3 linked regions of the Elephas maximus indicus genome follow. The protein of the gene in region 2 interacts with the protein of the main gene of each other region in a pairwise test. Links are inferred from orthologs where the notes say so. Each region holds a gene or a part of one and is shown on either strand. Other genes may lie near its edges.

What was found.
Region 1: the proteins of CIB3 (region 2) and ENOX2 interact in binary tests that used the Homo sapiens proteins (3 or more experiments, as listed by UniProt). The two-hybrid records come from large-scale screens. The link is inferred for Elephas maximus indicus from reciprocal best matches to the Homo sapiens genes CIB3 and ENOX2.
Region 3: the proteins of CIB3 (region 2) and SERTAD1 interact in binary tests that used the Homo sapiens proteins (3 or more experiments, as listed by UniProt). The two-hybrid records come from large-scale screens. The link is inferred for Elephas maximus indicus from reciprocal best matches to the Homo sapiens genes CIB3 and SERTAD1.

What each region holds. Positions count from the first base shown.
Region 1 is NC_064846.1:25,302,985-25,312,842, forward strand, and holds the start of ENOX2 (ecto-NOX disulfide-thiol exchanger 2), read left to right. Parts: upstream 1-5,408; 5' UTR 5,409-6,652; intron 6,653-9,858. UniProt on the Homo sapiens protein: May be involved in cell growth. Probably acts as a terminal oxidase of plasma electron transport from cytosolic NAD(P)H via hydroquinones to acceptors at the cell surface.
Region 2 is NC_064821.1:36,410,201-36,420,737, forward strand, and holds the start of CIB3 (calcium and integrin-binding family member 3), read right to left. Parts: upstream 3,940-10,537; coding exon 3,889-3,939; intron 3,693-3,888; coding exon 3,658-3,692; intron 1,647-3,657; coding exon 1,535-1,646; intron 168-1,534; coding exon 20-167; intron 1-19. UniProt on the Homo sapiens protein: Acts a an auxiliary subunit of the sensory mechanoelectrical transduction (MET) channel in hair cells. Plays a role in regulating hair cell MET channel localization and function.
Region 3 is NC_064829.1:111,231,223-111,240,859, forward strand, and holds SERTAD1 (SERTA domain-containing protein 1), read left to right. Parts: upstream 1-5,813; 5' UTR 5,814-5,962; intron 5,963-7,554; coding exon 7,555-8,268; 3' UTR 8,269-8,622; downstream 8,623-9,637. UniProt on the Homo sapiens protein: Acts at E2F-responsive promoters as coregulator to integrate signals provided by PHD- and/or bromodomain-containing transcription factors. Stimulates E2F1/TFDP1 transcriptional activity.

The sequences.
Region 1 (9,858 bases), on a different chromosome or scaffold from region 2:
AGTTGAGCTGTCACCTTTCTTAGTGGCCACCCATGCCCCAAGTAAGGCTGTGGCGGAGGGTTACAGGGACGAGGCCTCTGGAGAACTGTATCCCACCTCCCTGACTTTCCTCATCCCAAAGGAAAGCAAGTTCTGGTGCTAGGGCTGTCAATACCCTTCCAAGCTCTTGACTATTTACCTACGCAGCTGGAAGGCTAGGATTGCAGCTGTGGTGGCAAAAGGGCCATTCCTAGTACCTGGAAAGACAAGCACTTTCTAGAAGAACCTTGTGGATGGTCCCAGCAAGTGAATCCTCTCCATCCTCGCCTTTCCCTCTTTCATTGACTCTCTTGCTGGTAGCTACTAGTCACTGAAATCTTCATCATTTGTATTATCCATTTCCCCCATTAATTTAACATAGATTTGTATATATATGTGTGTGTGTGTGTGTGTGGCATTTTTAGTAATGACAGTGAAGTTCAAGGGGAAATTGGGAAACGTTTTCTTTCTTCTCACAAGGAGTGGGCTGGGAACTTGTTTGAGGGCACAGATGGCATGGGAGAGGGCCAAGGGGAACTGATATCTGATATTTCTGCTATAGCCCCCACCTTTATTTTGGCTGCTTCAGATTTGGCCCATGTGAACAGGCACATGGGTGCGCACCATACAGATGGACATCGGAACATATGGGATTTGGCTGAACCAAAGGTCCCCAAACATTGCCTGGATCTTTTAGTACCCCAGGTGTAGCCACCCCAGGACTTCATGTGCTAAAATTGTGTCCCAGTTGGAGCCAGCTGATCACAGTATATGTAGTATCAAGGCAGCTTAGAGCCTCATAAAGCATGACTTTGGATTTTTTACCTTGTGGATTTAGATTTAGCTAATCAACCCGAATCCTTCCTGACACACTGGGCAGTAAGGATGTACTAGGTTAATAGAAAGATTTAACAAAAGGAGATGCTCATTGTCCAATAAACTTGCATTCTCAACTAGATGAGACATAATACTAGACCACACAAAGAAAAATAGGCTGACTTTCCAGAAAGTAAAGAAGGAATTAGAGGGATTCAGTCTCTTTAATAAGCTTTTGATATATACTAGATTTTAAATTTTTTCTTTTCACAAGTTCAGCCCCTATGGAATTTTAGGAGCAAATAGTGATTCCTTCTGATTTTAAAATTTGAGGAACTGGAGAATGTTTCATAAAATAATATTGGCCCTTTCTTTTAATTTTCCATATGTGGTTGAGATGCCTGACATCAGTCATTCAAGCAAAATTTGTTTGAGGGAATAATAATAATGTTGTTAGGTGCCATCAAGTCAGTTCCAACTCATAGCGACCCTACGCACAACAGAATGAAACACTGCCCAGTCCTGCGCCATCCTCACAATCATTGCTATGTACGAGCCCATTGTTTCAGCCACTGTGTCAGTCCATCTCGTTGAGGGTCTTCCTCTTTTTCGCTGATCCTCTACTTTACCAACAATACTAGTAATCCCATACAATCCTATATATAGCCCTTTACAGTTTGCTAAAAAGGGTCTTTATATCCATTTGCTCATTGGCTCTTTATAGCAATCTTGTGGAACAGTCAGGGTAGGTACTGTTAGCTCCAATTTATAAATAAGGGAACTTAGGCTCTGAGGACTTAAGTGACTCACCCAGGGTCACACAGAAAGTTGTGGAACTGGAAGCTAAACCAAGGTTTCCTGATACCCAGCCACAGTATTCTTTCAATTGCATCGTTTCCTGCCTAAAAGACTATCTCCTTTTTGCTCCTACTCATGATTAATTTTGAAATAGTTCTACAAAAATATGTGCTTCAGTTTAGCAGATGAGTGCCTTCTCTAAGGTCACCTGTCAAGTGAGTCCTGCACACACCTCTTAGCTTTTCACCTTGACTTTAACGGAACTATTTTTAGGCAGACATAGATTTTTCTCAGTGTTAAACACATGCACAAAAGTTGTGTGATCCACTGATTATAGGTGTGAAAGCTACACCTGGGGAATGGGACTAGGGATGAAAAGTTGGCTTAAAATAATTAGCTTCTTGCCTTTTTGTTAAGAGATGTCATGTTCAATAGAATTTAATTTCTTTATACTTCCTTTGCTTCCAACCTTTTAAATACAATTCTTTAGGGAAAGTTAGCAAATACTCATTCTGAATGTTGATTTTGCAGGAACAAGCGTGGCTGGGAGGAAAGAGAAAGTGGAGGGGTGACTTCGTATGCCCTGTCAGAGTGGGCAAGCATTATTTTGTTTGGGGCTGCGAGCTAAGATTTCTTCTAAGGCATGCAAATCGTAAAGTTCTGATTTGTCAACAGCACGCTGTTTCTTTAGGCACTGATGTATGAAATCCCTTACGAATTCTCAGATGAACATACTGCTAATTGCTTCTCCACCTGCTCTCCAACCTCCTCCACCCCACCCCCTCCACTCCCAATTCAGCCTATAAGTGTCCGTCATTGGAGATGGATGGTGACACATGCAGTAATAGCAATTCATAAAAGCCAGTTCCAGCCCTTGTCTTCAAGGCTCCTGGATTTTCCACTGCCTGCTTTTGTGTAAGTGAAGTGGATGGAAGTGCTACTGGCATCAGAATCCACCTTCCTATGCTCCGTTGTTAGAGCTCAGTTACTCGGCTGGAGCTGAGCTAAACAGAAGCATCGGATCTGAGCTGAATTGTAGCTGGCTTTTTTTTCCCCCCTGAATGGGGGTGTGGGTTATGGGTAGTATGTAGTGAGGGTTTGGGGTGCTCTGGATTTTTTTTTGTGGGGAGAAGAGAGTAAAGGGAGCATAACTTGCAATAGGTTACAACGTGAAACAGTTCCCTGAAGAGTGTCACAATGTTCCTGGTACAATATACAGGTATAGTATGTCTTCTTTTATCCAAAATTTCTTTTTCGTTTCAAAGTGCATTTCTCACTCTTATTTTTCCTCCAGTTCAACTGTACTGAAGGACAAATAGGGTTCTAATGAGCTAAACAAAATAGCTGCACAAACCGTGCCTGCCCCTAGCTATAATGTTTGTAGCAGATTGTTGTATAAAATCTGGGTTTTCTGGTAAATTGGTAGTCCTGCTCCCTTAATTGTGCATGCTTCTCTGCTGTATTCTTGTATTGAATTTCTAAAGTCTTATGTCTGCAACTGGTAGTATGTGATATAGCTTAAAAGTGCTTGCACAGAAGACACACAGCGCTATGGAAGCAAAGAGCATTTTTAAAACAGTGTATTATGTCGCTCTTGAGTTTCTTAACTCCTGTCTTTGTTAATTGGTTATCTGGATTTGGGATATAGTTTAGAGTAAGGAAACTTCAAATAGAAAGCACTCCAGAACTCGTCTGTTGGACAAATTTATTTTTATTTCATTATTGAACTCAGGTTGGTGAACGTTATCTATTATTGTTGTTTATTTACTGTGCTGGTAGAAAAAGTGCTGGAAACAGCAAGGCTAAACATGCCAGCTCCAAACCATCTGTATCGTAAAATACCGTTGGACCAGAAGTATCCCTTAAGCATTCTGTTAAGCTTTCAGAAATATATTGGTCCATAAGAATGAAGAACTTGAAGACTCAGATCAGGTGTTGGTGAATGTTTTTTGAAAGCCTTCTTAAACAGCAGTTACAAAGACAGAAAGGACCCTTACAAATGAAAAATCCTGAGAAAGTTTCACTTTCTTGCTCAATAGAACAGTAGCTTAGTTCCTACAACCACATGTTTTGATAAGTTTAAATATCATGTATTGTGAAGGACTTTCATCTTCAGTCTCACTTTATTGGCCTTAAAATATTGTGCTCCTGTCCTTAGGAGCTACAAGATCATATTCTGTTTTGATGGGTAATTTGACAGTTGATTTCGCTCTTCATTAATTGGACAGCATACAGATGATGTGGAGAAGTGAGTGAGTGACAAATTTCAAGGTTATGCTGAAGAGCATACAGTGAACCTTAGTGTCTGGACCAACAGCTGCTGAATTGAATTGTCTGCAATTAAAGCAACAGCAGGTTTGTGTAGTCTCCCTGCAGCCCATTTATTTGAATTTATAGCTTCAGTTTCTTCTTTGGGTATCGGTTGGCTTGTTTTGCTAAGTGTTGGAGAGTTGTGCTTGCTGGATGTTTTCTCCATACTCCAATGCATACTTGACTCCAGAAGAGCCAACTCTGTACATTTTAATGTGAGAGGTTGTTGAGGTTTTTCTCTTCTGGTTAACACTAGAGAATGTCTCTTTTTCTCCATTACAACAGTAAATAGATATATTCTCATGGAAAATATTATCTGTTCAATAATTAGAGGCTTCTCATGGATCTGTGTTACTGGTTTATGTTCCTGGCATTGAAAAATGTTGGACTTTGTTATGTTACTAGAATTACTACATCTGGAAAGAACTTCTCTATGCCAACATATAAGTGTTTATGTTTTAAAAACTAGTGGCATTATCTCCTTGCCATCTCTCAGTTCTAGGTTAATCTAATGAATATCAAACCCAACTAGGTGGCTTTTATGACTGAATTTTATTTGTATGCTAATAGTGAATACATGTTTAACTCCTTCATGATTTTACTCTATTAGAAGACAATTTTTACTTACAGTGTAGTTGTTGATTATTGACTCATAGTGGACGTGGTATAAAACATTTACATAGTGATTTAACATACGCTTTCTCAGTTCTTCCTCATCACAACCTCATGTGAGGTCAGGGGCTTTATGATCTCCGTTTCATAGGTAAGAAAACTGAGACTCAGAGGTTAAGTAACTGGCTCAAGGTCTCACATCTAGTAAGTGGCAGTACCCAAACTGGTAGGTTTCTTGACTCAAGAATCTACACCAGGTTGCCTCTGAATTGATGGGTCCAGGGTAAATTTGACTTAAGTTACTAGTGAAGAAGACTAAGTTCACTCAATTACTTAAAAAGAAAATATTCTTTGATAGGACTCAGGATTTTTTCAAAACCATTTTAACCCAACATATATTTTAATATGTGACTGCTCTTCAAATTAGTTTTACAGATATATAGAAAGCACTGGTATTTGGAATTGGTATAATGAGCTGAGTTGAGCCTTGTGAAGTTATTGGAAAGGAAAATAATGTCTAATCCAAAAGGTTAATATGTAATGTTTTCCATCTAAAATAAGATATTTTTAATATCTGCTCAATAGATTTATAAGATTATTTTCATAAAATATGTGTATTTTAAAAATACTGGCCATGATATAAAGTGTTATATGTTTTTAAATTAGAATATTTTATCAAAATCAATGGAAAAAATATATAGTGTTGAATTAAGCAGCCAGCTCAGTTGCACATTTTTCTTTCTATCTGTATATAAAAAAGGACACTAGCGTTCCCATCTTTTAAAATTCTCAAGTGGTTTCTCAATTTTAAATTCATTAGTTTTAAAGGAAAAAAAAATACATTCTGTCCCACTGAAGAAGGGGACAGAATGTATTTTACTGTTTAAACCTACATTATTACTTCTGGTAAAATTTTCTTTAAAACCTCTTCAGGGAACATATTCATGAATGGGGTCATTTTTAGATCTGAATTATTAGACTAGTGGTTACAAGCTAAGGCTGCTAACCAAAAATGTCAACAGTTCAAATTCACCAGCCAGCCACTCCTTGGAAACCCTATGGGACAGTTCTACTCTATCCTCTGGGGTCACTGTGAGTCGGAATTGACTCGACAGCAACGAGTTTGGTTTTTTATTTTGGTTTATCCCATGTACTGGACTCGATGGCACTGGTTTTTTTTTTTTTACTGGGGAAATGACTAGATGTTGACACCGTAGCAACTCTTCTTTAGCATTTGATGGTGAATATTTGAGAATGTTGTCAAGAAAAAGAGTTGGAGCTAAGGCAAGCTTTGTGTGACCTGTTTATGGGACTTTTAGGATGATGGTGATGGATATATTGTCTCAGATACCGTGTAATTAGAATTTATCCTTATTTGGGATGCTATCTTTATACTTGAACAGATTTTAAAGTAAAGCTATCCTTATATTCTTCTAGCAAAAAAGGAAAGGAGGATGATAGAAGGTGTCTTCACTGTTTTTTGAACTTCAATAGAATTTGACATGAAAAAATTACAGGAGGGGACTTGGGGAATTGGATCAGGGCTAAAGGGAGGAAAACTGGGCAAACAAGGCATATGATTAAAAAGCTCCATATTAAACTTGGTTTCAGGTAGCAAATTTCCTATGTAGTTGGAAGCTCTGGCCAACACCCTTCACTCCATTCCATTTTCTGGGAATAAGCACTCTGAATACAACTGAAAAAGAGCTTATTGGGGCTTTTTAAGAAATTGGCATTTTTTGATTTGTTAAAGAAAATTCTTTCGTCTGCAAAATAATTCATTTTTTGCCGTCTGGTGTTTCAGGCCAAGAGAAATTAGAGAGGGAGATGATTTCCAGGTTCTGATTGTTCAGGGAGCTAAAGTTGGGTTGTCTTAATGATTTTTCCTTTCAGTATGCCTTTGAATGTGTTTTAAGGGAGTGAAGGGCTGGTTTTATGGATGGGGATGTAAGGGTCATTATACTCTAGCCAGTAGCATGCTGGAGCTGGCTTGCACTTGATTACTTAAGGGGATCACCGAGAATATTTACAAATTTAAAAACTTATTCCTGTCTGCCTTTTTCCAGGAAGAACTTGAGATATTCATTATGAATAAGAGGTAAGGCATGTTGTCTCTGCATCTGTATATTGCAGATGCCCATTGGGCTTCTAAATTATATTGATTGACATCCCTTACATATAGCACTGATGCCTTGAAGGGTTATTGAGCATAGCACAGTTAAGTGTGTGTGCCCCTCCCCCTCACATACACGCAATAATAAAAATAAAAAAAATAGCTGACATTTATTGAATGCTTACTGTGTGTCCAGCCCTGTTATAAATACCTTATATGTATGAACTCATCAACCTTCACAGCACTCCTGTGAGGTAGGTAGTAGTATTATTTCCATTTTAGGGTTAAAAAAACTGAGACACAGAGTTTAAGTAACCTGCCTACCAGGTTACACAATTAGTAAGTTGCAGAATCTGGATTTGATCACAGGAAGTCTGTTTCCAGAGCCCACACTCTAAACTATTATGTAATATGCTCTATATCTTTAAGGGCACTGCAACGAGGAAGCTATTTACCTATTCATGTGCTATCCAGAGCAGATATCCCATTGTCCGTGCCTTTAGAAGGCATAGATAGTGTAGAGCTGCCTGCTCAACAGACTGCTGAAAATTTTTACTTTCCTTCTGACACTCATCACTGGTAGTCTTCTCTATCGCCAGTCAAGGTGGATCATCGCATCCTCAGCGGCTTCTAAACACTACCACTACTCATGTTCTTTCTTCAGATTTTTAGCTTTTTTCTTAGGTGCTTCTCTCTCAATTTTTAGCTTTTTGCAAGAAGTATTGCCAACCAAGGTGTAATTTTTCTTCCATGCAACCAAATGGGCAAGCATAGCACATCTTCCCAGCATCTCCTCTTTTCCCACTGCAGTCCATTTTCTGCCTAACTGTTAGAATGTTCTTCCTAAATGCAGATCTTATCATATCATTCCTCTCCTCAAAAGCCTAAAGGATTTTGGGACTTTTCTAAATAGGTATCAGGGCCATCCATAGTCTTATCTCAACCATCCAGAATGCCTTTACACGCTTCTCTCCAACTACACTGCCCTCTCTCTACCCTACTCACTGGGCATGCTGTTCTCTCCATTTTAATTGCCATTCTTCTATATCTCTAGCAACCCTAGAGCTACCCAGCTTTTAAGATTCAACCCAGATGGTACTTGCTGTTGTATTACGGTGGAGCTCTGATGGCGCAGTGGTTAAGCGCTCGGGCTGGTAAACAAAAGGTCAGCAGTTTGGAATCCACCAGCCACTCCTTGGAAACCTTTTGGGCAGTTCTACTCTGTCCTGTAGAGTCACCGTGATTCAGAATCAACTCAACTGCAGTGGGTTTGGTTTTTGGTTTATTGTATTACAATAACTTATTTTTTGTCTGTCTTCCCCCACTAGACTGTGAGTTCCTTGAAGTCATAAAGTATATTTTACTCGACTCTGCACATAGCCTAGTGCCTTGTTCATAGTTAGCACTCATATGCAATATTTAGGTCTTTAGCAGCTGCATCACGTTAGCTCATGATTCAGAGTTATTCCCAGAGTCTAAGGGTTCCAGAGTCAAATGTCCAGATAGCTTCTACTCTGCATAGATATTCTACAATATTCTGTTTAAAAGATTAGTTCTGTTTTTAGCGCAACTACCTCCTTGAATTTTTTTTCATCTGTACTCATTCTTCAGATCTACTATACTTTGAAAGCTCCTTTTGCCTTTGTGAAACATTTTGTACTTTTGGAGAGAGACAAGGGTTTGCCTATACACATATTAATACAAGAAAATCAGGTCTCTTATCTCTGATCATCTCATGAGCCGCAGAATTAGAATAGGTGAACTGGTAATTGCATTTTTAATACATAATCACTGTGTTTCTCAAAATGTGGTTTAGAAACTTCCAGAATTACCTAGGATATTCATTGTGAGCATTCTAGGAGTTCTCTCTAAGTGATCTGCATTTAACAAACTTTTCAAATGATTCTTACCTATAACTGCCTTTTTTTTTTTAACCTACAACTGACTTTTGGGAACAACTGTCCAAAGTAAGAAAAAATGCTAAATTCTGATCTGTATTTTATCCTGTGTGCATATGAATATTAATTACATTGTGGAAAAACTATTAGTAGAATGCTTTGAAGTTTTTGTAGCCCATACTGTGCATTAGAATTTTTTATCATGATGAGATTTTCTATAACTTTGCCTTTTCTAACACATGTGGCTGTTGGATACAATGTTAGGAAGTGCAGCTCTAGAAAACTTGACCATCCAGAAAGAATAATTCTCTTAAGAGTCTAGATGGCCACAAAAACAAACCAAACCCATTGCCATTGAGTCAATTCTGACTCATAGCGACCCTATAGGACAGAGTAGAACTGCCCCGCAGAGTTTCCAAGGAGCACCTGGTGAATTCAAACTGCTGACCTTTTGGTTAGCAGCTGTAGCACTTAACCACTACGCCACCAGGGTTTCCAGATGGCCACAGTGATCATTAAATCAATGAGAAATCAAACAAGAACATTATTTCCTTTGACATACAGGCCATTGTATTTCTTTTTTGGGGGTAGTTGATTTTTAAAAATGGCCTAATGTGGCTTATCCTCAGAAATGATTTAACAAATTATGATCTCAATTAAATTTAAATGAGACCTGTATTTTGCATTTCTCATCAGTACTGTTTTTCTCATCATACTGGTTTGCTATCCAGAGCTGGCTATTAAGCCTTGATTTCCAAGCTAGGGATAAGAAAGTTGAGTTAATCAAAAGAAAGAGCTCCTAGCTCCAATGTTTAGGTCATAGATACTTTTATACATTTTAGCTCTCATAGCCCTTTTAACTATTCTCATTTGGATTGGTCAGCCCCTAAGCCACTAATGACTCACTACTTTTCAGCTTCCATTTCTTCCTCTGATAAATCTTCCTTGAACCAGTAATGTACCCTTTTCAGGGTGATTTCAGTAAAGATCATTAATTCTTTGGGAGCCCTGGTAGTGCAGTGGTTAAGAGCTTGGCTGCTAACCAGTTCGAAGCCACCAGGTGCCCGTTGGAAACCCTATGGAGCAGTTCTACTCTGTCCTATAGGGTCGCTATGAGTTGGAATCAAGTTGATAGCAGCGGGTTTTTTTTTTTTTTCCTTTGGGAGAATTTGAATCAAAAAAGCGTAGTCTCTACAAAGAGACATAAATCTAGACGCTCTGTTTTATTATGTTCATTGTGTGTCTTAGTTGTACTTGGTGGCTTAAAAAAATCCACTATTGGAATCTGTGGTA
Region 2 (10,537 bases):
CTGGGGGCTGTGCACACACCGTAAATCTTAAAAGCGTAGTAGGCTTTGAGGTCACGGGGAGCCATCTCGCTCATCACAGAGAACATGTCCAGGAAGTTGTCAAAAGTCATGTGTCCGTCGCCATCCTCAGAGAAGACCTGGGCAATCCTCTGGCGGAAAGGGTTGTCCTGGGGATAAGAGGGAACCAGGGTCTCCAGGGGGCCACGTGGTCTCACTCTAAGCATCCACCTTCCCGGGAACTTCCACGTGTTCCCCCACCAATGTTCACTCCCTCCCACGGTCCCTGGAGAGGACTTCAGGCAACTTCACCCTCTACCTGTGTGGTCTGGGCAGTGTTGACCCACTTCTGGTTCCAGGGGTAGTACAGGACCCAGGGAAGGCCAATCAGAGCATTCCCTTTACCCGGCCACCATGATTGGCTCTGGGGTAGGCATGTGACCCAGACTGGCCAATGAAAGCCTGCCCTGGGACATTCTCAGGAAAATAGAGATGGATGGCTGCTTTCTGATGGTTGCGGAGCTGGCAGAGGATAGCATGGGTCACGGGGCAGGGGGCTCCCCTCACTATCTCAAGAGGAGAGGCTGATTGAAACTAAAGTCTCCTGGCAGGAAAGCAGCCAAGAAGTGGGAGGAGATTTCCGGGCACATCAAGATCGTGGTTCCAGCAGTACCTGAAAGTAGCCCTGCCCTGGATTATTTTTGTTTACATAAACTGATCTGTTCTGTCTCTCTTGAATGAGGTTTCTGTCACTTGTAATCAAATAATCTCAACTCAGTCAGTTACTAACCATACAACCCCCGTTCAGAGGCACAAATCATGGGTGAAACATCCACCTGAGAAGGACCTGCCTTTAACAGCTCTTTACTATGAAAAGACCACCATCTGTCAGTCACTTTGTTGTACTGTGGTGGCTTGTGTGTTGCTATGATGCTGGAAGTTATGCCACTGGTATTTCTAATACCAGAAGGGTCACTCATGGTGGACATGTTTCAGCAGCACTTCCAAACTAAGACAGACTAGGAAGAAAGACCTGGCAATCTACTTCTGAAACTTAGCCAACAAAAACTCTATGAATCACAGCAGAATATTGTCTAATATATTGCTAGAAGAGGAGCCCACTAGGTTGGAAGGCACTTGACCACAACAATGGATTCAAGCATACGAACAGTCGTGAAGATGGCACAGGATCAGGTAACGTTTCATTCTGTTGTGCTTGGGTCGCCATGAGTTGGGGGCTGAGTCAATGGCAACTGACAACAACAGCAACTCTGAAAAGAACTAACATTCCCTGACCACTTGCCACACAACATGCCCTTTACCTGTGTTATCTCATTCCATTCTCCCAACAATCCTGAGTTTGAATCCTGTCTCTGCCACTCTATGCTGTGGGACTTTGAACAAATGTCTTGCCCTCTCTGAGCCTCAGTGTCCACGTTTGTAAAAAGGAGGTCATTGTAGCACCCACCTCACAGGAATGTGTTACGGTACATCCTACTATTTTTTTTTCCCTGCTTGCCCTCTGGCCTGGGCGTACCTTCAGCTCAGGCATGCTGCCAATGAGCTCATAGGGCACCTTCACATCAGGGTAGCTGGTATAGTCGAGAGGGACGAGCTGGGGAGCCAGGTCCTGGTAGCGATAGAAGAGCCTAGTGTTGGAGGGAAACAGCAGGAAGGGCTGGGAGGTAGGAAGGGACATAGAACTCCACCCTCCTCTCTCATTATTGAAGCTACACACCCCACCTTGAAGAATGCTCTGCCCCCTGCCCCCCCAAGGGCCATCAGCCCTGGACCCAGCCCTTGAGCAGTCGGAGCCAGACACACACAACTCCACCTGCCTAGCACTACCTAGATTCTGAGGCCAGCTCGCCACTCAGTGCCCTCACCTGGTGATGCCATACTGTCATTGGGCATGCTGGGCAGCAGCCTTGTAGAAATCATCCTTCATGAGCCTGGGGCCCCCAAGCTTCTAGCAACTGTCTGTTAGGGGACACAAAAGCCCCTGATGGCTAGGTTCCCAGGCCTAGGGGAGCCTGGAGTGTGAGAAACATTCCAGGGAGTAGGAAGGGCTTCCTGGAGGTCAGGGCATTGGTGCTGGGCTTTGAAGTGAGAATAGGAGTTTACCAGGCAGATGGGATTGGCAGAAGGGAGGGTGTTTAAATCCTGATTTCACACCAAGCATTCAGAGAATCCGAGTTCATCTATGAATCTCTGGACATGTCACAGTGTCTGCAAGACCCTGCTTCTGAAGACCCCCATCTACATACCTCCCTTTCCTTCTTCTGTAACAGCAGGCTGGGTTCCCCCAACAGAGCATAGCAGAGCAGAGCAGAGAAAAAGGGCTCATGTGACCTTTCTCAAAAGGGCACAAGAAAGGCATTTTGGAAAACACCAGTGGAGGCCACATACACTGCCTCAGTTGTAAGACCAGCTCTCCACTCAGTGCCCTCAGCTGGTGATGCCATACCTTCATTGGGGCATACTGAGCAACAGCCTTCCAAAGGCCATCCTTGTTGAGTCTGGGGTCCCCAAGGCTCTAGCAACTGTCTCTTAGAGGGCACAGAGCCCCCTGGGTCATATAATGATTAGGAACTCACTGTGGGGGAGGTCTGAAACTTCAGTCCTAACCACCTAGACCCCTGCCTGTGTCCCTTCAGGGGACAGGCTGGGTTGGGGTTGCTGTGTGGCCTTGAGCAGGACTCTCTCCCCTTCTGGGCCTTGGTTAGTCTGTCCAAAAAAAGAGATGCTTGGGGCAAATGAACTGTTGGCCCTCTGCCCCTCTGCCCTGGGACTCAGAGTCAGCCCTAGCTAAGCCTCAGTTTCCCCATCAGTAATCTGATCATGATGGCCAGGGTGACCTGCGAGCTGTCCTCACCCAGACAATGGGACTTGCTGGCGAAAGGTGCTGCCATCAATAATGGATGTCCGTGCCCACACAATTGGGGCCTTGGCCCCGATCATGCTGCAGCCAAACCCTGGCCAGCTTGGGTTTCACAGCTCCAAGTTCATGGTCAGGGCCTCCAGACAATGGCCCCCCAGGCTGAGTGGTGACATGCCTGTACACCCTGGGCTCATGCCAGAGCCCTGCCTCAGGCTTGGGCCACCTCCCTGCTCTTGCACCTTGATGCCAACCCATAGCCCAGACCTGGCTCTGGCCTCCTGCTGGAGCTCCCAGCCTCCAGTCTCAGCCTCCACACACTGGCCTCCGAGGAGTCTTTCTTACACACTAACCGACCATGTCTTCTCCTGCTGTGGCTCCCCGGCACCCTTGGGAGAAGCCCAAGCCCACCAGCCTGGAAGCCACTGTAACATGATGAGATGGGACTTCTCAGCCTCCCCCCTCTGCCTCCTCCACTGACCATGCCTCCACCAGCCACCCCACATCAGCACTTTAACCTTGACGCAAAGCATCAAGCCAGTCAAATTACAAATATCCTCCAGAAGTGAGTAGTAAGTTGTTTCCAGGTCATAAGTGCTAATATGACAAGATGCAACTTCTCGGCCTCCCCTTCTCCGCCTCCATCCCCTGACCGTGCCTGTGCCACCCCCTCCCCACCATTAGCACTTTAACCTTGACAATGAGCCTGTCAAATTCCAAATCTCCTCCAGAATGAACAGAAAGGCGTTTCTATGTCTTCCCTCCTTCCTCACCAGACTGACCTCATGATCTCCTTCCTCGTGAAGAAGGTGCAGTCCTGTGGAGAGAGATGCTGGCTCAGCCCAGACCCTACTTCTGGGACTCACTTTCTCTTCTGCCAGCTCTCACCCCTCGGTGTCGGATGCTGCACCCAGAGCCGCACCATGAACCCAGGACGCGAGGATGCTGTCCCCATGTCTCAGGCCAGAGAACTGAGGCTGCCAAGCCCACCACGGGCCCAGCCCACTCCCTACCTGGTAGGCTTCCAGCTGCTCACGACTGAAGACCGTCTGCTTGTTGCCCATGGCGAGCACCACTTCCAGGCCCCTGGAATGAGTCCCCAAATTTTCTGGGTCTTCTCAGGGCCGGACGGGCTGCCAGGCTGCTGCACACCAGTGTCTGGGCAAATAACCCTGCCCTGCCTGTCACCTGCCCACCTGCCCGTCACCCCCAGCCTGGGTGAGACTCAAGTTACAGCAAGCTCTCCGGGCAACCACCTGAGTTTGTCCCCAGCCACCGGGGCAAGAAGGGCTGTGGGAGGTCACAGAGCAGCCCTCAGTGGGGGACCATGTCCATCACCACTAGGTGAGGCTGAGGATTTGGGACATCTTTGAGGGACAAGCAGGGTGGCAGAGAGGCTGTGGGTGCATCCTGGATCAAAGTCCAGTTCTCTGCTCACTAGCTGTGTGGCTTTGGGCAAGTTGCTTGACCTCTCTGAGCCTTGTAGGTAAAATGGAAATTTATTAGTACCTACCTGTTTTGGGGGGCCCGGAAACCTGGTGGTGTACTGGTTAAGTGCTACGACTGCTAACCAAAAGGTTAGCAGTTCAAATCCACCAGGCGCTCCTTGGAAACTCTATGGGGCAGTTCTACTCTGTCCTATAGGGTCGCTATGAGTCAGAATCGACTCGACGGCAACAGGTTTAGTTTTTGTATTTTTGGTTATGGAGGGCCCTGGTGGTGGTGCAGTGGTTAAGCATTTGACTGCTAACCAAAAGTTGGCAGTTCAAATCCACCAGCTGCTCCTTGGGAACATTATGGGGCAGTTCTACTCTGTCCTACAGGGTCACTATAAGTCAGAATCAACTCAGTGGTAACGGGTTTGGTTTTTTGGGTTTCACTTGTTATGTATTGAGTTACGTCTCCCCAAAAATATGTAGTGGAATTCTAACCCCTATACCTGTGGATATAATCCCATGTGGGAATAGAGATTTCTCTTATGTTAATGAAGTCGTATCAGTGTAGGGTGGGCCTTAAATGTAAAGACTTCTGAGATATAAAAAGAGCAGATTAGACACAGGGAGAAGCAAGCACAAGTGGAGAAAACATAGATGCCACGTGGAGATCACCAAGGAACTGAGGAACAAAGCTGAAAAGAGACAAGGACCTTTCCCCAAAGCCCACAGAGAGAGACTCTTCCCTAGAGCCAGTACCCTGAATTCGGACTTATAGACTGCTGAACTGTAAGAAAACAAATTTCTGTTCTTTAAAATCACCCACTTGTGTCTCAGGGAGCATCTAGGTCAACTGGCATAACATAGTTCATAAACAAAATGCTCTCCATCCTACTTTGGTGAGTAGCATCTGGGTTCTTAAAAGCTTGCAAGTGGCCACCTAAGATGCATCTCTTGGTCTCATCACGTTCAGAGCAAAAGAGAATGAAGAAAACCAAAGACATAAGGAAAATATTAGTCCAAAGGACTAATGGACCAGAAGAACCACAGCCTCCACCAGCCTGAGCCCAGAAGAACTAGATGGTACCTGGCCGCCAACACCAACTGCCCTGACAGGGATCACAGTAGAGGGTTCCAGGCACAGCTGGAGAAAAATTTAGAACAAAATTCAGATTCACCAAAAAAGACCAGATTTACTGGTCTGATAGTGACTGGAGGGCCCCCCTGAGACTCTGGCTCCCAGACACCCTGCTAACTCAAAACTGAAGCTGCTCCCAAAGTCCACCTTTCAACCAAAGATTAGACAGGCCTATAAAACAAACAAAAACAAAAGTGAGGAACCTGCTTCTCAGTTCAATCAAGTATACGAGACCAAATGGGCAACACTTGCCTAAAAGCAAAGACGAGAAGGCAGGAAGGGACAGGAAAACTGGATGAATGGACACTGAGAACTCAGGGTGGAAAGGGAAAGGGGAAGAGTGCTGACACATTGCCGGGATTACAACCAATGTCACAAAACAATTTCTGTATACAATTTTTGAATGAAAAACTAATTTGTACTGTAAACTTTCACCTAAAACACAATAAAAACAGAACACCATCCACTTGTGGTCTTTGTGTTACAGCAGCTCTAGGAAACTAAAACATCCCTTTTCCTTGAGAGTAGGCAGGATCTAGTGACTTGCTTCTAACCAATAAACAAAAAAAACAAAACCCGTTGCCGTTGAGTTGATTGAGACTCATGGCGACCCCATGTGTGTCAGAGTAGAACTGTGCTCCGTAGGGTTTTCTTGGCTGTAATCTTTATGGAAGCAGATCACCAGGCCTTTCTTCCACAATGCCACTCCTTGCAATATTGAACACCTTCTCATCCATTCTGTGATACACACTTCCTTACATTTTAACCCTTCCATGACCGTTGGAATATACGGTTGCCCACCCACTTTTTCCACCTCTTGGGTTCATTGGGAGCCTGCTTTCCCACTGACAGTGCATGCTGCCACAAGGCAGGGGCCTTTATGACTGTTTTAAACTGAAAAAATGGGTGTGTGCTGCAAATAATCGTTTCTATAGGGTGTTGTATGAGGTGTGTGCATTTTTGATAGGAGAAAGAAAAATTTTGAAAATTTTTCTTTGAGACACCATATGTCTTTCCGGACTCTAGGGAGCATCTGGGGTAGAATTAGTGGGACAATGTATGTCCCTCAGGACTTAGAGGGTAGGATTGTTGGAGGGGGTGGAAAAAAAAAAACCCCATACTACCTACCAAAACTTCATCAACACTCATTGATTCAGCATGCTTCCATTAATGAAAACACATGATATCAACAAAAAGTTCAAAGCAGAAAATATTTTGGGTCTTGAGATTAATATGTCTAAAATCAAAATGCATCTCATAAGTACTGTTGGCCCACTGTCCCTGCCTGCATGTGCACACATATTAAAAGCACCAGCTTCCAAACTCACAGAATGGAAGCCAATGGCTTGGAAAAAAATCCCCTAGGATGTAGAGGGTGGAGGTGTGTGGAATCACATGTGCTTCACTACATCCCGCAAGTGCTTGATGTCATTGCAAAGGTGGCTGGAAACCCCAGCCCCAGTGGCACTTAGTTCTTTTTCAGATTCTTTTTTTTTCCTAATAAACTTTTGATTTTGGATTAATTTTTTTTTTACAGAAAAGTTTCAGAGAATTCTCGTATACCCTTCATCCAGCTTCCCCTAATGTTAACATCTCACATGACTGCCACACATTTGTCATAACTAAGAAGTTAACAGTGTTACAATACTGTTAACTAAATTCCTGGGAGTCCCTGGGTGGCACAAACTGTTAAGTGCTCAACTAGCCAAAAGGTTGTTGGTTCGAACCCACCCAGAGGTGCCTTGGAAGACGAGCCTGGCAATCTCCTTCCAAAATGTCACAGCCTTAAAAACCCCATGGAGCACGTATGGGGTTGCCATAAGTTGGAATCAACTGAACGGCAATTAGCAACAATGACAACTAAATCCCAGACTTTTTGTGGTCTGAGATATTTCACTAGTTTTTCCAGTCATGTCCTTTTTCTCTTAGAATTCCATTCAGGATCCAGTGTTGTCCGGTCCTGTGCTGTCCTCACAATTGTTGGCTATGCTTGAGCCCATTGTTGCAGCCACTGTGTCAGTCCATCTTTCTCTTTTTCACTGACCCTCTCCTTTAACAAGCATGATGTCCTTCTCCAGGGACTGATCCCTCCTGATAACATGTCCAAAGTATGTGAGACGTAGTCTCACCATCCTTAAGAAAGGATGGAAAACCTTCAACAAGATGGATTGACACAGTGGCTGCAACGATGGGCTCAAGCATAAGAAAAATTGTGAGGATGATGCAGAACGAGGCAGTGTTTCGTTCTGTTGTATGTAAGGTCGGAACCAACTCAACAGCACCTAACAACAACAACAAAGCCATTAGCCTCTCCATCACCATCTGATGAGTCTTCAGCTGTGTCTGAAATACCACCTGGGGTGTCATCTGAGTCATCCCTTGGCTAAGTCATTGCCTGGGGCATCACCTGAGGCAAATGCCTTACAAGACAATGCTGAATGTTCTCAAAACACATCCCCACCACCTATTTTGGCTTCTAGACCTATAGACTTAAGTCCAAGTGAGCCCCAAAAGATAAAGTTCAAAATGTGACCCAGGAGGAGATATGCTACACTCCAAAAGAACTGTCTGACATTTCTAATATGTACAAACAGGAACCTGGGGAATATGTGTGAGAATGGCTATTAAGGGTGTGGGATAATAGTGCAAAAATATAAAAATGGATCAGTCTGGGTTTACTAATATGGGCCCACTAAGCACAGATTCTCCATTCAATGCTTCACCTTGAGAAGTTAGAAAAGGATCTAATAGTTTATTTGGTTGAGTGGCTGAAACTTAGATTACATGGTGGCCTACACTAAATCAAGTTGAAGTATCAGTCCCGCCTTAGTGTACTACAGAAGAGGATATGCAAAGACTTAAGGAAATTGGCATGTTAGAGTAGATTTATCAGGTTAGAGCAGCAAACCCACACATGGAGTGCCCAGAGGACACACCTTTTACCACAACAATGAGGAACAAATTTGTGAAGGGTGCCACAGCATCCTTGATGGCTGCTGTGATTGCTATTTTATGTAAGTCAGATTTGACAGTGGGAACTGCCCTAACTGAATTAAGACAGTTAATTACAATGGGGCTGATCAGACCACTTGGTGGTAGGGACCAAGTGGTGACAGTCAATCAACCAAGACAAGGGTATGATCACCATGATGGACAATGGAGTCAAAGCAGTAATCAGAATAGTCTAACTCGTATGAACTTCAGGCATTGGCTACTTAGTCATGGCGTTCCTGGGAGTGAGATAGATAGGAAGTACACTAAATATTTACTTGGTCTGTACAAGCAGAAGATTTCTAGGTCAAGTGAACAGCAGCATAACGCAAATCACCAGAATAGAGAGTCACAGCCCGTCAACCAATTCCCAGACTAAAGCCAGTTTACAGACCCACAATTCCTTGAATGAAGGCCAGGACCCCTTGAAGAAGGACCCAACAATACTGCAAAAAAATTTATACCGTTAATCTTTCTCCCAGCCTTCCCCAAAGGGATCTATGGCCTTTTATGAGAGTGACTCTTCACTGGGGAAAGGAAATAAATCAGTCTTTTTGGGGATTACTGGATAACACTAATTCCAGGAGACCCGAAACCTCACTGTGGCCTGCCAGTCAGAGTGGGAGCATATGGAGGTCAGGATATTAATGGAGCCTTAGCTCATGTCCATCTCATAAAAGGTCCAGTGGGTCCCTGAGCCCACCCCATAGTGATTTCCCCAGTCCCAGAATACATAATTGTAATAGCTATACTCAGTAACTGGCTGAACCCCCACACTGGATCTCTGACAAGTGGAGTAAGGGCTATTATGGTAGGAAAAGCTAAGTGGAAGCCAATAGAACTGCCCCTACCTAGGAAAATAATAATCCAAAAGCAATACCATGTTCCCGGAGGGGTTGCAGAGATTACTGCCACCACCAAGGACTTGAAGCATGCAGGGGTGGTGATTCTCACCATATCCACATTCGACTCACCTATTTTGCCTGTGTAAAAAGCAAATGGATCTTAGAGAATGACAGTGGTTTATTCCAAACTTAACCAGGTGGTGACTCCAATTGCAACTGCTGTTCCAGACACGGTCTCATTGCTTCAGCAAATTAATACATCTCCTGGCACCTGGTATGCAGCTGTTGATCTGGCTGATGTCTTTTTCTCCATGTTTCAAAAGACTACCAGAAGCAGTTTGCCTTCAGTTAGCCAGCCTAGAAGTATACCTTCAGTGTCCTACCTCAGGCCTATATCAACTCTCCAGCCCTATGTCATAATTTAGTCCACAGGGACTTTGATTGCCTTTCCCTTCCATAAGACATCACGCTAGTCCATTACATTGATGACATTATGCTGATTGGACCTAGAAAAGAAGAAGTGACAATGACTCTGGACTTATTGGTAAAACTTGTATGAGACCAAAAAAAAACCAAACCAAACCCACTGCCATCGAGTCAATTCCGACCGATGGCGACCCTATAGGGAAGAGTAGAACTGCCCGACAGGGTTTCCAAGGAGCGCCTGGTGAATTCGAACTGCCAATCTTTTGGTTAGCAGCGGTAGCTTTTAACCACTGCACCCAGGTTTCCATTTGCATGAGAAAGGGTGGGAAATTAATCGGACAAAAATTCAGGTGCCTTCCACCTCAGTGAAATTTCTGGGAGTCCAGTGGTGTGGGATATGTTGAGATATTCCTTCCTGCTAAAGTGAAGGATGAATTATTACATCTGGCTACTCCCACAACTAAATAGGAGGCACAACCCCTAGTGGGCCTCTTTGGATTTTGGAGGCAACGTATCCTTTAGTTGAGTGTTTTGCTCCAGGCTGCTTACCAAGTGACTCAAAAAGCCGCTAGTTTTGAGTGGGGCCCAGAACAAGAGAAGGCTCTACAACAGCTTCAGGCTGTCATGCAAGCCACTCTGCCCTTTGGGCCATATGATCCAGCTGATCCAATGGTGCTTGAAGTGTCAGCGGCAGAGAGAGATGCTGTTTGGAGTCTTTGGCAGGCCCCTATTGGTGAATCACAGGGCAGACCCTTAGGATTTTGGAGCAAAGCCCTGCCATCGTCTGCAGATAACTATTCTCCTTTTGAGAAACAGCTTTTGACTTGTT
Region 3 (9,637 bases), on a different chromosome or scaffold from region 2:
GGCAGAGTCCAAGTTCCCCAGCCCGCCCTCCCCCGCCGTCCTGCCGTGGAGGATGGGCAGGCGGCCTTCTCGGGGCGTGGCCGGGGCGGCCCCCGTCCCTCCCACCCGCCCACCCTCCGCCCTGGGCTGGCCGGCCGGATACTCGGGAGGCGGCCGCGGCCCGGAGCCTGCCCGGCGCCTCCGCGCTCCCCAGAGGCTGGACGGGGCGCCCGTACCCCCGCCCGCTCAGCTGGCGGAGGCTCCTCCCCGGGCCTGCCGGGCCTGCTGCCTTTGCTTCTGCTTTCGTTTCTCAAAGCCAGGCCTCTCCCCCTTCGCCCTTCCCCCAGCCCTTTGAATCCCTGGCTCCCTCTCTTTAATCGACTCGACGGCAACGGGTTCTCTTTCTGGGCTCATTTCTAATGTCACCTCCTCAGGGAGGCCCTCCACGACCCGCCTGGCTACAGGCATCTCCCCTAGGTCGCTCTGTTATCCTGTCCTATTTTATTTCAAGCCACTGAGCAGAAGCAGAAATTATCTTCCTAATTCCTCTTCCAGGGTCTTCTCATCCCCTCAGAATAAAAACCAAAGGTGCTTAAAGCCAAACCACCAAACCCACTGCAGTCGAGTCGATTCCGACTCATAGCGACCCTATAGGACAGAGTAGAACTGCCCCATAGAGTTTCCAAGGAGCGCCTGGCGGATTCCAACTGCTGACCCTTTGGTTAACACCCGTAGGACTTAACCACTACACTAACAGGGTTTCCCAAAGGTGCTTAGAATGGCCTAGAAGACCTACCTGCTAACTCCACTGGCCTCTCCTGCAGCTCAAGTCCGGCTACAGTGGCCTTCTTGCCCTGCAAACAGCACGTGGCCACCTCAGGCATTTGCACCGCTCGCCTCTCGGCCTGGAACTTGCTTCTTCCAGAGCTTCGCACTGCTTTCATTTCATCAGGGCTTTGCTCAGCGGTCACCTCAGCAGAGAATCCCACCACCACCAATACCCGTCTAAGCCTGAACACCCTTTCGTTTCTCTTCTCTGCTTTTTCTTTCCCCTTTCATTATCACCTTCATAAGAGTACCTCCTCCCATCAGGGATTTTTCTTTATATCTTCAGTGCCTCGAGGCAGTACCTGATAGACCGTAACCCTTGCCGTCGAGTGGATTCCGACTCTTAGCGACCCTATAGGGCAGAGTAGAACTGCCCCATAGGCTGCAATCTTTTTAAGGAAGCCGACTGCCACGTGTTTCTCCCTTGGAGCAGCTGGTGGTCAGGACTCCCTGACACACAGTAGGCACTCAATATATGAATATTGGTGAATAAATGAATGCATTTGTGTCTTAGTCATCTAGTGTACCCATAACAGAAATACCACAAGTGGATGGCTTCAACAAACAAGTTTATTCTCTCAGTTAGTAGGCTAGAAGTCCAAATTCAGGGCGTCAGCTTCAGGGGCAGGCTTTCTCTCTCTGTCGGGTTCTGGAGGAAAGGTCCTCATCATCAATTTTTCCCTGCCGAGGACCTTCTCAGCACAGGGATCCGGGGTCCAAAGGACACACTCTTGTTTCTCCTGGCTGTTGCTTCTTGGTGGTATGAAGTCCCCATGTCTCTCTGATCACTTCTCTCTTTTAGATCTCAAAAGAGATGGGCATAAAACACAGCCTAATTTTGTAGATGGAGTGCTGCCTCATTAACATAACTGCCTCTAATCCTGCCTCATTAACATCATAGAGGTAGGATTTACAACACATTGGAAAATCACAGCAGGTGACAAAATGGTGGACAATCACCCAATCCTGGCCATCATGGCCTAGCCAAATTGATACAAATATTTTTGGGGGACAGGAATCAATCCACAACATTTTGTTACAGTGTTCATTTTCTCTTTCTATCCTCTACCTCCACCAGTGAGAGTAGAGACTGTGGACACTTATTCAGTGCTGTACCTCCATGGTCTACAACAGTGCCAGCACATACTAACAAAACCTGTGGTTTCTGACTTATACTCTAGGACAGAGTAGAACTGCTCCATAGGGTTTCCAAGGTTGTAATCTTTATGGAAGCAGACTGCTACATTTTTCTCCCTCAGAGTGGCAGGCAGGTTGGAACCTCTGACCTTTCGGTTCACAGCTGAGCACTGTGCCATCAGGGCTCTTTAACACATAGTAAAAAAAAGAACACCCAAACCCACTGCCATTGAGCCGATTCCGACTTATAGTGATCCTATAGGACAGAGTAGTACTGCCCCATAAAGTTTCTGAGGAATGCCTGGCAGATTTGAACTGCCAGCGTCTTGGTTAGCAGCTGTAGTACTTAAGCACTATGCCACCAGGGTTTCTAACACATAGTAGGGCTCAATAAATACATGTTAATCAAATGATTCCTATGAATTCTTCTTCAGTGTATGACCTGGAGCAAAAAAAAAGCCACCTGGAAAGTCTGACCCTCCTTTTTCCCAGGCCATAAGAATGAGCTGTGGGTGAAATTACGTGAGTTTGCCTAGCAGAGGCCTGCCTGATTCTAAATAGCATTTTATGCTTCTTTTTATTATTATTTATGAAAAATTTTAAATTTATGAAAATCATCTATATAAAACCAAGTGGTCAACAGTTATTCTAAAGCAAAGATGAAAGGGTAAGGGGACAGAGAAACCAAGTTACTGGATATAAGACATCCAGAATGGAATTAATGACAATGTTGACACATTGTGAGAAATGTAACCAATGTCACTGAACAATTGGCATAATAATTGTTAAATGGGAACCTAATTTGCTGTGTAAACTTTCACCAAAAACAATAAAATATTACTTAAAAAAAAATTCAAGGGCATAGAAAATTATGAGGGAAAAAACACACTGAACACCTGAATACCCTCCTTCCTAGGCTTAATAATTGTTAACAGTTTGCTGTTTGCTTTATGTACATATGGATATATGTATAGTTTTTCTTTGGCTGGACCATTGGAGAGTAAGTTCAGAGATCCTGGTGATATTCTACCCCTTTTTTTTAATAGCTCAGCAGGCAAGGCACCTCTTAAGAATATTTACCTACTCCCCACAATACTACCTCACACCTAAGAAAATTAGCAATTCCATAGTATCACCTATATCCAGCTCGTATTCAAATTTATCCAATTATCCTAATAATATCTTTTATAGCTGCTTTCTTTTTTCTTTCAAATGAAAGTTGGCATGCTAATTTGATTGTAATAAAGAAATTACATAGTCCCCTGAAACTATTGCCCTGAGATAATCTTTAAACCTTGAACCAAAAATATCCCCTAAAGTCTTCTTAAAACCAAACAATAGTTTAGCTGAAGTAGTAAAAAATGCCTGCCTTGAGCACTATAAGAGCTATCTATAAGGGATCAAATTGACAACAGCAACTGGAAAGATTAGACAGGAACCTTAGGGGGAGTGAGTTTATGGTGATGGGGGAGGAACAACCCAGAAAAGGAGGGTGAAAATGGTTGCACAACTTGAAGAGAGTAATCAATGTCACTGAATTGTGCATGTAGAAACTGTTGAATTGGTGTATGTTCTGTGGTGTATATTCTCAACAACATATATAAAATTAAAAAAGAAATTACACAGTACCTTTTATTCTAGAACAATCCCCCCTTCCCTTTTTGGGTCTTCTTAACATGGAATTGCAGGTGGAACAGCCCAGTTGTTCTATAGAATGTCCCACAGTCTAGATCCATCTGATTGTGTTTGTGTTTATTTTGTTCCTCTCTGTTCTCTATAAGCTGGATGTTGGGTCTAGAGGCTGGATGAGATTCGACTTATGCAGTGTAGCAGGAAGACTCCACAGGGGATGTGTGTGCTTCCTGGTGCACGGTATCAGGTGGTACCCAGTGTCAGTGTGTCCCACTATTAGGGAGGCAGATTTCTCCACCATAAAGGATATTTTCCCTTTTGCAGTTAGCAAGTAACCCGTGGGGTGATGCTTTGGATCCCATTCTCTGCCGGTATTTCCTCTAAAGGTTTGAGCATCTATTGATAATCCCTGCCTGAATCCATTACCATAGTTAGCATTTTTGAGCACTTACTTTGGCCCATTAAAAAAAAAAAAAAAAAAAAAACTGTTGCTGTCAATTCTGACTCACAGCAACCCTGTAGACAGAGTAGAACAACCCCATAGGGTTTCCAAGGGCAGGCTGGTGGATTCGAACTGCTGCCCTTTATGGTTATCAGCAAAACTCCTAACCACTGTGCCACCAGGGCTCCTTACGTTGGCTGGGAGCTTTATTTACAGTAACTAATGTAATCCTGGTGGTGTAGTGGTTAAATGCTTTGGCTGCTAACCAAGAGGTCAGCAGTTTGAATCCACTAGGCACTCCTTGGAAACTCTGTGGGGGCAGTTCTACTCTGTCCTGTAGGGTCGCTATGAGTGGGAATCGACTCGACAGCAGGGGGCTTTTGTTAACCTAATCCTTCCCAAAAAAAAAAAAAAAAAATCCTTCCCATAGCCCCTAAAATGTTAGCAAATGAGCTACCTGAAGAAGGTAAATTCCATTGTCAGTTCAACTCCTGTCTACCTTTAACCCCCCTCAACGTGTCCCCTCACTTTGAAGAAACGGTCTGTGCTATTCCCACAACCCCTGGTGGCCTAGTGGTTAAGTGCTACGGATTCTAACCAAAGAATCACCAGTTCGAATCCTCCAGGCGCTCCTCAGAAACTCTATGGGGCAGTTCTACTCTGCCCTATATGGTCGCTATGAGTCGGAATCGACTCGACGGCACTGGGTTTGGATTTTTCGGTTTTATTCCCACAACTGCTATTAAAAAGCCCTGCCATCCAGTGGTTTCCGACTCTTAGTGACCGCACAGGACGGAGTAGAACTGCCCCTACAGGGTTTCCAAGGCTGTAATCTTTACAGGAGCCGACTGCCACATTTTTCTCCGCGGGAGCGGCTGGTGGTTTGGAACCGCCGACCTTTTGGTTAGCAGCGGAACGCTTAACCACCGCGCCACCAGGGCTCATTTACAACTGCTTTAAAAGGACATGTTGCATGCCACTTTGAGCATTTTGCACAAATCGTTTAATTCTCAAAACAATCTCCAGAGCCAGACGCTGTTATTTCTCCGGTTTTAAAGATGAGGAAGCTGAGACTCTGGGGATTAAAACATTTGCCTAAGGTCACACAGCTACTTAGGGATTGCAGTCCAGGACTTCAGTGCAGGGCTTCAAACCAGTTGTTCCGGTTGGAACTTCTGCCGAGAATTCGCATTTTCACCCCAAATATACTGAATCAAAAAATCAAAATCTATATTTTAATAAATTCCCCAGGTGATTCTTATGTATAATAAATTTTGAGAACCACTGCTCTACCAGTGGTTCTCAGCATTGGTCACTAACCAGCAGCATTAGCATCGCCTGGGAACTTATTAGAAACGCGAGTTCTCAGCACAACTCTCAAGAGGTAGCCATGACGAGCCCCATTTAAAAAACTGTGTGTGGCTCAGAGAGGTCAAGCATTTTTCCAATGTCATGCATGAGTGAGTGGTAAGCCAGAATTTGCACCCAGGCCTAGCGTGCACACCCCTGTTGCAGCTGGGTGGGTAAGAACTCAAGGGCTGGGTTTAGCAGGCGCATGGGTAGGTGTGAGGGGCTTGCACTTCGATACGCAAAAGCCCCTCCCCGTCACAATCCCTCAGGGCAAATAGCCACGCCTCTTTCTCTCCCGCAGCCGCCGGAACATGCGCTCTGAAGCTAACCTCCCCTCCCTTCCAACCTGCCCCTTACAGGCTCCGCCCACCACCGCATAGGGCCAATCCGTGAGGTAGAGGGTGGGGCCGCCACGGAAGTAGGCGGGAGCTAAGAGGAGTCAGGAGTCTGGAGTTGTGAGCCGGAGTCAGAACCCCGTCTCCGGACCTAGGCGCCGGTTGCTGGAGCGGAGCAAGCGAGCGATGCTGCGGCCGCCGCTTCCTGATTGGCTGCGGGCGGCTAACTCTTCGTTCTGATTGGCAGCTGGTGAACTGGGTATGTAAATGAAGGGAAGAGACCGGGGGAGAGAAGGAGAACCGGCTGCGGGGTCTGTAGGAGGGTTCGATCCCGAGTCCGGCAGGTGCGCGCCGGGGCTGCCCGAGATCTAGATTCACGGGCCTCTACGTGTCGCCCGCCTGGCCTGGCCGGGTGAATCACGCCGCAGCCCGAAAAGGGGGCGGAGGCGCCGGCTCCCTGGCTCCGGCTGCGTGACTCACCCGCCCCCGCCGCCGCCGCTTCGGGAGGAGCCGCCTCCTCTGCCTTCCGGAAGCGAGTAAGAGGCCCGGAGGGCAGAACTGCCCGCCGGAACGGCTCTGGGGGCCAGGCAGGAACGAGAGCCCGGACACGGGGCGGTGTAAAGGGTCCTGGGTTCGGAGGGGCCGAAATCTCCGAGGGAATGCGGGCCTGGGCGCCGCTAGGGGGCGCCGGGGCCCCGGAGGCGGAGCCGGGGGTGGGGGCTAAATTCCTGCGGTTCCGGACTCCAGGGTCTGTGGGACAGAGGGAGAGGACCCAGTCTTGGATAGGATGGGGGTCGCTCTTAAGGTCCTGCTCGGCAAAGGCCCCAGGGATGGATCCTGCAAACTGCCTGAGTCAAAAAAGCAGTCGGGCCAGGGGTCCATAAATCCAGGGATCCACCTGGGGAGGATCTGGGTCCTGAAACTTCTCTGTCACACCCGCCCCCCACGCGCTTCCACTCCCCAGTCAGGATTTCCCGGCAAGTCTTCCCCGCTCTGCATCTCAAATATATCCTGAATCGGTCAACTTCCTTCCGTGTCCACAGCCACCTTCGTTTGCCCCAAAGAGTTACAGCCGCCTGCCTGTGGCTTTTCGGGACACACACACTATTCCTTGCAGTTCCTGTGAGGATCTTCTGAAAACACCATTTCCCTCCCTGCGCACACCCTTCGCTGACTTCCCAACACACAAGGAAAGCCAAACTCCTTACCTTGTCTTATATGGCCGTCAGTGACCTGGCCCCTCCTACTGCCCCCACCTCATCGCCTGCCATCCCACTCCGTGTGCACCAGCCACACCAGTCTTTTTCAGTCCAAGCTTATCCAGCCTCCGGGCCTTTCTTTGCCCATGCTGTTGTTCTGTCTTCCATGGTTCTTCCATGGCTGACCCCTTCTTGTCTCAATTGTCACTTCCTCGAGGACCCTTCCCTGACCACCCCCTACCATGAATCTTTAAGTGTCTTCCTAGCACTATTGGTAATTTTCCTGTATTTGACACAAAGTAGGCATTCAGTAAACACCAGATTTAACTGTGTGAAACAACCACTTCTGTAAGTTAAAAAAAAGTTGGATAATGACCATTTTATATAGTTCAATGAAGAACTAAATAATAGTTATTTCTAAGAGTACTTGTTAATAAAAGTAATTACTGTGTACCAGTCACTGTTGTAAGCCTTTTTGTATCTCATTTAACCCTTAAAACTATGAGGTGAATACCATATGTGAAAAGTTCCCTAAGGTTAAGTGACTTAAGAGAGGTTAAGTGACTTGCCCAAAGCCACACAGTCAGCAATTGTCAGAGCCAGGATTTGAACGTTTGCTTTCTATAACTGAAAGACTCCTTCCTCCCCATAGATGATGCTGAGCAAGGGCTTGAAGCGCAAGCGGGAGGAGGAGGAGGAGAAGGAAACCCTGGCAGTCGATGCCTGGTGGCTGGATCCTGGTCACCCAGACGTAGCACAGGCACCCCCCACCGTGGCCTCCAGCTCCCTCTTTGACCTCTCGGTGCTCAAACTCCACCACAGCCTGCGGCAGAGTGAGCCGGACCTGCGGCACCTGGTGCTAGTTGTGAACACACTGCGACGCATCCAGGCATCCATGGCACCTGCGGCTGCCCTGCCACCTGTGCCCAGCCCACCTGTAGCCCCTGGAGTGGCTGACAGCCTGCTGGCCAGCTCAGACGCTGCCCTCTCAGCCTCTATGGCCAGCCTTCTGGAGGACCTCAGCCACATTGAGGGCCTGAGCCAAGCCCCCCAGCCCCTGGCCGATGAGGGGCCACTAGGCCGCCCCACTGGGGGAGCCCCGCCCAGCCTGGGTGCCTTGGATCTGCTGGGCCCAGCCACTGGCTGTCTGCTGGATGATGGACTCGAGGGCCTATTTGAGGACATCGACACCTCCATGTACGACAGCGAACTCTGGGCACCAGCCTCTGAGGGCTTCAAACCTGGCCCTGTAGAGGGTGCAGGCAAGGAGGCGACTCCAGAGCTGGACGAGGCTGAGCTGGACTACCTCATGGACGTGCTGGTGGGCAAACAGGCACTGGAGCGGCCGCCAGGGCCGGGGCGCTGACCCCCAGGGCTGGGAGGGTTATATTGTGGCTGAACTGAGCCTGGTGGCTGGACCAGCTCTCCTTGGACAGACACAGCTGGCTTCTCTGGTACAGACAGAGGGGCACGGGCCAGTTTGGAGAGACAAAATCCAGTCCTGGACAACTTCACATCCGTCCTCCCCTTTCAGGCAGGAGGGGGAGTCCAGGTTTGGCCCTAGTGATGGGATAACAGGGCCTGGTGGTTGGAATGTGGGTGGACCAGGCCCAGTGCTGGACTGAATCCCCTGGGGTCATCGCCTGGGATACTTCTTCCCTGATGTGGGAAGAGACCCCAATTAGTTTTTGAAATTAAAACCAGCCCTGGGAAATCTCAAGCCTGTGTTTTCTTTGTGTCTGGGCTAGTGTACGACAACATTTACTGAGTATGTACTGTGTGCCTGGCACAGTTCTAAGCACTTGTCACGTGTTAACGCATTTAATCCTTATAACAAACCCATAAGATGGGCATTATTAATACCCCCATTTTACATACGAGAAAACTGAGGCTCCAGGAGGTTGTCACTTGAGGAGGTGGACTTCAAACTATAAGTTCTACTGCTTTATTGGTCCAGAAAGCAAACCATCTAGATCTGGTCACTGACCCCCTAGACCAGCTCCCCAGAACACACTCAGCCAGGTTTCTCTGATGTGCCTGTGTGTATGTGTGTGTACTGGGTGGGTGGGTGGGGCTCCCCAGGCCACTTTTTAAAATGAAATCTAGTCCCCACCTGGAGCCTGTGTGCCTTTGGAGGGCTAAAGAGGGTTTTCGAGATGGCCCAGAAATAAAAGCACGAGGCTGGATGGAGCCTCTCCAAGGAGCACGAACAGACAGCTCTCCAGGAAAATGCTGAAAGAAAGGGAGACTCCAGCCAGTTCTGAAAAAATGAAATCCACTCCCCCGTCTCACATCTCTCTTCCGGCAGGGGGTAGGATACCTGGGAGGCAAACTCCGAAATAAAGCCACCAGGCTAAGTGGCTGGACTGAGCGGCCCCCCAGGGGCAGGCCGTCGCGCTTTCCTTCTGGAAGAAACCCAGGCCCAAGGGAGCTAGGGCCACCTGCCTGCCTGTGGGACGGTGTCGTGCTGGCCGGAGCGCCGGGTGTCTGCGGCCGCCCCCGCGGTCCAGCCGCATTCCTGGCCCGGCTGGGCGGGGCCGCACACTCAGAGGCCTGGCACGGGCCCCGGGCCGCGTCCTTCCTGGCGGCTGTGGGGGCAGGGCAGCGCCCGGGCGGAGGGGGCACAGGGACAGCTGGACGGGGGCAGGGAGTGAGTGCTAGAGGGCTGGACGGTGGCCTGAGCGCCCGGCTGACCCTTCAATAGGGGGAACGGCAGCAGGGCCGATAGAGGGAAA